Linked DNA regions of Bombyx mori. The protein of the gene in region 1 interacts with the protein of each later gene in a pairwise test. Links are inferred from orthologs where the notes say so. Each region holds a gene or a part of one and is shown on either strand. Other genes may lie near its edges.

Region 1 (3,894 bases):
ATATTATAGAGATTTAAAGGACTTAAAATTATTCTTGTACGAAGTGAGCAATTTCGAAATACATAGTCTAAGAACCCAAGCGATCCCGATGATCAATATGTACAACAATTTTTAGAATTACTTAAACATTTCATATTGAATATTATAATTATCTCGGAATAAATTACTGAATTATGTTTGATTACGATTATTCATTACGCAGTCAAACATTATTTATTATGGTGATCATTTATTAAAATAATTAAGTGTACGTGATATTATTTTGGTAATGAATTTCTAACTTGAAATCAAAACACATCAGTGATGCATTATTGATTTATAACTTATATAAAATATCTTCTCCATGCAAGCAGTCTTGTCATTGGGTTAATTCGCCTTTGTCATAAATGTTTTTTTTTATTATGAACCTAATACCAGATTAAACGTTAGACGTGTTTAATTACGTCTACGGCTTTTGGATACGTAAGAAAAGTAACTATTATATGAAGTTTCCTTCGTAATATAGTTCTTATCGATACACGATTATCTATTGCCACAATAAATGACAAGTTATTGTACATCTTCTTCGAATATAAAGTTCAATTTCAAATGGCAAAAATGCGAACGAATTTCCTGTCCAATGCAGTCGAGAATGTTTTGTGTGAAGTAAATGTATAGTACAATTAGAATATAGATGGTATCACGTCTACTATCACAGTATCTTAGTTTCTATTCGAGAATAATTATTATACCTTAAAGGGATTCAATTACTTAATCGATTTTAAGGTATATAAATTTTACTGACAGCATGGAATCGAGATGAAAGTGAAATTATGACGTCATTTTTTTTAAAATTAGCTTTCAAACTTTTCAACACTTCACTTTTGCAAATTTCTATAAATAATAAAATACGTGTTCCTGCTTTCCATACAATATTTTTCATTGACGATCATGACCGCCGAACGTCGATTAAAAGTCAATCGATATTTTTTTAAATCGATTCCGTTTATTTAAAAGGGACGGTTGCACCATAGCATTGTACAAAGATTAGCGTTAACAAAACATTTATCATAAACAACAATAACTAATCGTAATTTTTCCGTGAGATCAGACTTTAGAGGAAGTTCACATTCTTGTTCCGCTGTTTTATAATATTTTCAAGGGCTATTCACACAGCTAGCTAGATTTAAAACGTAAATTAGAAAATTACAACAAGACTACACCGTAAGGAATATGAAGTAACAACTAGACGGTAACATTATAATTTCTTATTCTACGCAAGAAATAACACAAGTCAAACTCTACTATCGCATAAACAATAACAATGATATAATTCATATTTATTTCTAACCTAAGTAGTTAACGAGCAAACTTCGGAGATAGAGAAGCTTTAGATATAGGTACAACTATTCCCAGATGTCTGAGCTCCATCCATGAATCTACCGAGATAGCACTAACGATCAGATATCCACTATACTGTGCGTGTATTGCATATAACTATTTACAACATGCCTAAATTAAATACAAGCTCCACGAAGAGCCGGATAGATAGTTTGGATTAGCCGCAGGAGTACCAGCCAGTACCAGGGCACCGGGGGAGTGGACGAGACAGCGCGGCGGGAGTCGCACGCCGCGACCCCCTGCGACCGACATTATTTACCACCGAGACCGAATTTCATGAAGATCAGTTCTTTGCCTTTACTAAGAATGTCGCCACCGGGTGCCGTCATTTCGGAGAACTTCTGCATCAGGTTGGGCTGGGATGAGGGGGGCTGCGCCGGCGTGAGGGGCTGCGCGGAAGGCACGACCGCTGGACCTCCGCGTCTGGTAGTTGTTTGCGCCGTAGGACCCCCCGTCGTTGTGCTAGTGGGCCCGGTCGCATTAAGCGGAGTGCTCGCGGAGTTGTTGGAGGTGGGGGGTCCGCTGGGGGGTGCGTTGCCGGGCGACTGGACGGTGGGGGTGCCCGCATTACCAGCGCTCGTTCGCGCGATCGTGTTCGGGGGCTGTCCGCTCGACGCGCCTCTCCCCCTCGCCTGTTGCCAATTATTTATTATTTCATCGTACAACCACAACCCTATTTTTGTAACAGGAATGTGAAAAAATTAAATTTTTGCCTGTGAAAAAATTTATTTTGCAATTTATGTGCTTCAGAATAGTTAAATTTGAATAGAGAATGTGACATCTATGATAATTTTACTTTGAAAGAACGATATGTCACGATACTTGCCATATCGATGCGTTAGAATTTACTGAGTAGAATAAGTACGGTTACATCGTTTCCAATCCAACAGGGAAAAGAAGCATAAAATGGAATTTCTGGTAATAAATTAATTCGTACCTGTTTTTTTTTTTGAAATTTTATTTTCAAACTGTTTATTTTGATGTTTTATCTTGAGATTAAATTTATTTATATCACTTGTAGTACAGACAACATTAAGAACGCGTTGGATTTCGTGCTTTTGACTGAACATGCCGTTTCCATGCACCAAGCGAGTGAAAGATACTAAATCAAAATTATTCTTACTTTTATAAACGCGTCGCCGCGTCGTGATCTAATTATTGATCGAGATTGAGACATGCATCTCATGCTTTGATAAACTACAACAGAAAGCATTTGTGAGAACGTGTTATAATATACTACCCGATTAATGCAAGTACTTCGGACCGAAGTACACACAAATAGGCATGTCATTGACAAGTTAAAATAAAACGCTGTAATCGTGTAGACCACATTGACAGGCCTCGAATGCTTATGCAGTCACTTAAAAAGATGGTGATTGAGCTATTGTAAATCAATGTGAGTGAAGTATGCGACAGTGTTAATGTTGAGTACTTATAGAAACTGGTCAGCATATGTTATGAGAGCTAATGTGTCTATATTCTGGTTCCGTTCGTTATTAAATATAATAATATGTAAATAGTAAAGGACCAAGTACTAGCGATCAGTTTCATTTAAAAACGCCCTCATCTGTACACTGAGCGCAGCGTGAAACGTAACGATAAAATATTATAGAGAAAAAATTAAAATAAAAATGAAGAAAGGAAACAGTGAGAAAACAATAATTCATCTAAATATATGAAAGTGATAGTTGAACATAATAAGACTAGTATAATTGCTTAGTTTATCTGAAGTAGTAGTTTTTGTGGGTTCGATTTATTAAACGGTAAATTTTTACCTGAGAATTCGCCTGTTCTGGATTACTGGCGCATGTGTTGTGGTCTAATTGAGAAGGGGGAAGAGGGCAGGCATCTAGCAAACAGACAATACACCCAACATATATAGTGACCACAGACAACCACCCGAATCTTGGATCACACTTCACCGACACCGCGGGCTCTGTGCAAGTCTATGTTGCGTGTATTTGTACGTCAGCCTACCCACTCGTGTGTGCTAATTACGTGTGGAGCCTCACTGGATTAGACCTCACGGGTTAGGTTAAACAAAAATAAAGATAGGATAGATAATTGGATAGATTAAACGAAAAACAAAGAAAAAACAAAAAATAATAATACAAAAAACAAAAAAAACTATTTCGCATTTTCCCTATTCGATACATGTGGGGGCGTATCGTGTGACCTCATCTTTTTTATAATTTCTTTAAAAAATTTAACGATTTATGTGACTGTGTAATCCAAGATGGTGTTTTAGCAAAATGTATACACCAAGAGTCTTTGTGCTCCGTAGATTGCAACCGGACTTGCATTTGTTTTAAACATTAAATCTTTGCTGTAAATTTAAATATTATAACTAACAAAATTCGGCAAGTCCCGTCGCAATCGTACAAGAAAGATGATAGAGGTTATCTGAGCGAAATAGCTAGCGTCGTTCGATAGTCACATAGCAAGTCCAAGGTGCAAACATGAAACACTCAAAGCTCTCAATGTTCGGGACGGACACGCTTCGTCAGTCGCCGA
Region 2 (4,544 bases), on another chromosome or scaffold:
TTCACAAACCACCCGAACATTAAATTAGTAACATTTTCAAACAGCATACGTTATGAGGACTCAAACTATTATGATAATTATAATACAAATCTAATGTTAGATTTCTTGTTGCCGAGTGTAGTTATAAGATCTTTTCCGGAAGCTACTATTCACGTGCACTCCGATATATCTATTAGTATGACTTATTAATGAGTCGACTATAGGTAAAGCTTTTTACGACAGTAAAAATATGTAGATTATCGCTATAGAGTTAGCAATGTAAAATAAATTTATTCGACCTAACAATTCGTGAAGTAAAACTACTAAATTATCTAGACCTTTCAGAGAACGCTCATTTCAAGAGTTAATGTTACGGAATTAACCACTCAGATCCTATTCACATAAACATTGGCTTCAAACACAAAGCCAGTACGAGCTAGGTTAGCACAATGTCATTGTACAGTCCTCTATACGTAAGATAGGACAAGCTTCGGTTGTAATCCTCTAATTGTCTGTCGACGGATCGGTCAGGCCACATTAATTACACGAGACTTCAGCCAAATCGGCCATCAATCAAGGCAGAGCCCCGCATCAAGATCCACAACATCCATTAGTGTCAACTTGATCTTATCCAGCTGGTTTACGCAAACTTTTAATTTATTTCGCTTTTTACCGTTTTATAATTGATTGATCACTTGAGAAGCGATGCACTTACAAGTTACCTTTTTTCATTTAAGAACCATATTGGTATTCATGTACAGGATATTATTGTAACTATTAAGCATTATTAGATTTGAATAGGCTGCCCAACCATCCAAAATAATAGAATTCGGTCACAATGACTTACAACAATAAGCAACAGAATTATTTATTCATTTTTAGGAAAACTAAATATGTTCTTTCCGCTTTTGATACATTATTAATTTATGTTCGTTATTCAAAAAAGATATGAAGAGATTAACATTATATACACTCTTCGACAGGTCAAATGTAATGTAGTGACTACTATTATAGTAATTTTAGTGCATATTGATATACTAATTAATAAATTTCATATGTCATTAACGTCTAAGCCACAATCACAAAAGCAAAGCTTAAATATCATGACACAGTGAAGGTGGAATATAATAATTGTGAAAATATTACTATATAAATAATATCGACATTAGTTTCTTTTTCCATAAATGTGTGGCTAACCACACCACGTGGTGTTAAATGGTTATCGAAATCCATCAATCAAATTGGAAATTTCAGTGTATTCTGAGACTTTTTCTTTTTAAATAAATTATTGACAATTTGATGACATCTTTGCTGGTGGTAGGATGTTGAAAGTCGACTCTAGTAAGGACCACTGCTCTGCTTATGTCTGCCTTTTGCAATACACATGAGCTTTTAAGTTCATGTCTCAAGGCAAACGGCAATGGCGCCATTGAAGTGGTCACATTTAGTGATTCAAGTAGTCAATTAATATTAGATTGTCAACAGCTCTAAAAATGAGGATTACAAAAAAAAAAACATTTTGATATTATAAGGAAAATGAACCATTTCGTCAAATGACTTCTCGTTATTCAATACTGTTGCGGACAGCTATACAAGTCGTTCTCAGAATCTTGATTTCCTTCTTCGATTTTCGCGGTTGGGTCATTCAACTCAGAAATTGTAACCAACATTAATGAAAAATGAAAAAAAGGATTATTTGAATATTTAAGGTTTGTTTTTCGTAAATTAAATAATTAAATTTTTTTTGTTTCGTGTATTTCCAATACAACAAAAAAATATGTTCGAGGAATTTTGAATAGTAAGCCAATAAAATAGGAACGTAAAAACTGAATAATTAGTCCAATTTATAACACTGAATGTGTTAAAAATAAGTCAGTTTTTAATATGAGAGCAATTATCATTTGTTTTAATTGATCTGCTAATAATAGTAATTAATAATATAAATAAAATAATATATAAATAATAATAAACAATAATAATATAAATAATTTTAATAATAAACATCTAGTAACTTTCGTAATGGACTTAAACTTAATTATTATAAAGTTATGTTCAACTTCGACAATAAGTGTTCAATTAGTTCGCTTTTGTATATTTTATTTTAGTTTTTCTTGTATGATCCACGTCCGTAGCAAATCTTGTAGCGGTTATGCTACGAAGCGTCTACGCGCTACGCTTTGAATGAAACTTTAAAATGATGACGACGATACACGTCCATCAAAGTTTTGGCATAGTTTAGAACTAATTACGAAGTACTCGGTGAGCTGTAAATTTACGTGAAACTAGTTGGGAATGTATTTAGTACTTAAGATTGAAATATTATAAGTATAAATCAGAAACTTGGATAGAGTTTGAAATGACTGCGTCATTTAAACCAGTATTTCTCATTTAGTTTAATCTACTCTTGCCATTAATTATTTTAACAAAAAGAAAAATCATGCGTTCAGATTTTAGGCGCGCAACGTTTGTTTTAAAAATGACTGAGTTTGATTCAATTACAGAAACCAGGCCTCCGATTACGAATGTAACGAGAATACATTCCGTCAATGAGTTTTGTCATTACAACGTTCGTTATATAATTGATCAACTAATTACACTAGAGGAATATCCGCCGTGTCACACACGATTAATCACGTGGACATCGGCGGCGTGAACCGTCACTGCACTGCACTATCACATGTGATTTGTTTACCGCACGATTATCGGGATCGGGTAGGATATGGGTGTCGGAAGGCGGTCGGGCCGCCACGCGCGGCCGACTGTGTCGTATGGCCGATAGAGTCGCATGAAGTGCTGAGGACGCGGCCGCCTGGGCCTCCGGTAGCCGATGCACTGGTGCGCGCGCCGCCATCGACGCCGCCCGCTCGATATCGAAGCGCCGCGCCCCTCGTCAACGATGTATACCACCTGTGCGCTCCGTCACAACACCACGCCATGATCTTTCGCAGCCGACACCAACGATCTTATCCCTACCAGAGTAATCGTGACCTAACGTATAAGATGCTTAGTGTATTTGCGTTGAGTGATGCGACTATACGAGGGTTCAATTACCGAAGGCGGGTACCAATTTTTATAAAAAAATTACCTAATTTACCAGGTGCTCACCAACGTCTTCTAAGGAGTAATTTCGCTTTGTAGATATCGAAACCGCAAAAAATTAAAGTTTGCGTAAACAATGGTAAAGCGTGTAGCCACTTCCATGCTTTTTGTTCCTGCCATGAAGCAGTCATTCCTTCCAACTTTATATCATATAACACTATTTTAATTTGCTTACATATATGTAGGTAGACAAAAAAAAACAATAACCCTTCCCACGCTTTTACCGGTTTGAAAGATCTTAATTCCCCTGGGCACCGCAATTTGTAATAAAAACATTATCTCAACTACTAATGTTTTTCATGATAAACTTTACATAGTATAATTGAAATGCCTTGTAGAACAAAATCCGACTTAGCCTGCCTCGAATTACGGCGTAGCGCAAAATCCTCAGTTTATCAGACTACGTTCCTCCTCGGCGGTGCTTAAAACATAAACTATAGTTCACACAGCTTAAATTAGGGCGGATTCCGCAAAACTGTAATAACAGCGTTTATGTATAACAATATTTTACACTTGCGCACAGATAACATCTAAAGTTAAGGTCACGTAGCGCCGGGGCCCTCGCTTTGAACGCAAACACTTCGAAGCTGTTTATCTTGTTCATAACATCATAACACCCAAAAAGACTTAGGCACTTGCCGACACAGGTATAAAATGAAATGAAACCTGGAATGTTTGCCGAGAGAAGAATTTTATAGTTTTATTACCACTGAAGAGGAGTGCATCTACAGTTATGAAGATTATATCGAAATTTATTTTTCTCGTGTGGATTTTGTAGTGTTTTATTTAGTAACTTTGCTTTTATTGTCTTGAGTGGCCAGTTTCTTTTATATGTTGCTTTCATGGGATTTATTCTCTAATAATGAACGAGAGAGATAAATACACTTTTCTCTTGTTCACTTTTAAATATTTGAATAAAAATTGTGTATAGTTACGACTACTAAATCAGACGTCGAACATTACAAGCAAGCGTGTACCACTAATAAAATGCGGTCATAATTCACGTGCGGTCACCCCACAGCCTCATAAACTCTCTCCAAGCAATATAATCCCACTTTTGCAGGATAGCCTTCGAAATGACATGTAAGGAATTTAGATTTGCACGACGACTTAGAATTAAACCTAGTATATAAGTAAACTAGATTACTAAGTAGCTGAGCGAACACTTCTTCGAGAAAGTGGCACGGCATGATAACCCTCTTATCGTAGCCGCCACAAATTACATCCCGTACCCCGGACGATGGAGCAACAAACAACCGCCGTCGCCCTAAACATATCTTTCCGGGTCCTCTCGATCTACTCTCGACGCTTTAGGCATTTCAAGCATCGGCTATGTACCGTTCGCGTAAAACTCGTCAAATGTCCGACGTGTAACTTAACCCGTACTGAACTACTCACCGGATCTTCTCAGTTAGTGGCGATTGCGATCTGATGGCGGATTCAGCGAAGTACTGTTCTTGCTTGGG

Evidence for each region.
Region 2: the proteins of RIMS-binding protein 2 (region 1) and protein unc-13 homolog A interact in a two-hybrid assay, tested with the Drosophila melanogaster proteins (2 studies listed by BioGRID). The link is inferred for Bombyx mori from reciprocal best matches to the Drosophila melanogaster genes Rbp and unc-13.

What each region holds. Positions count from the first base shown.
Region 1 is NC_085122.1:8,935,086-8,938,979, reverse strand, and holds part of RIMS-binding protein 2, read right to left. Parts: intron 3,230-3,894; coding exon 3,156-3,229; intron 2,013-3,155; coding exon 1,632-2,012; 3' UTR 1-1,631.
Region 2 is NC_085127.1:10,041,796-10,046,339, reverse strand, and holds the start of protein unc-13 homolog A, read right to left. Parts: upstream 3,018-4,544; 5' UTR 2,672-3,017; intron 1-2,671.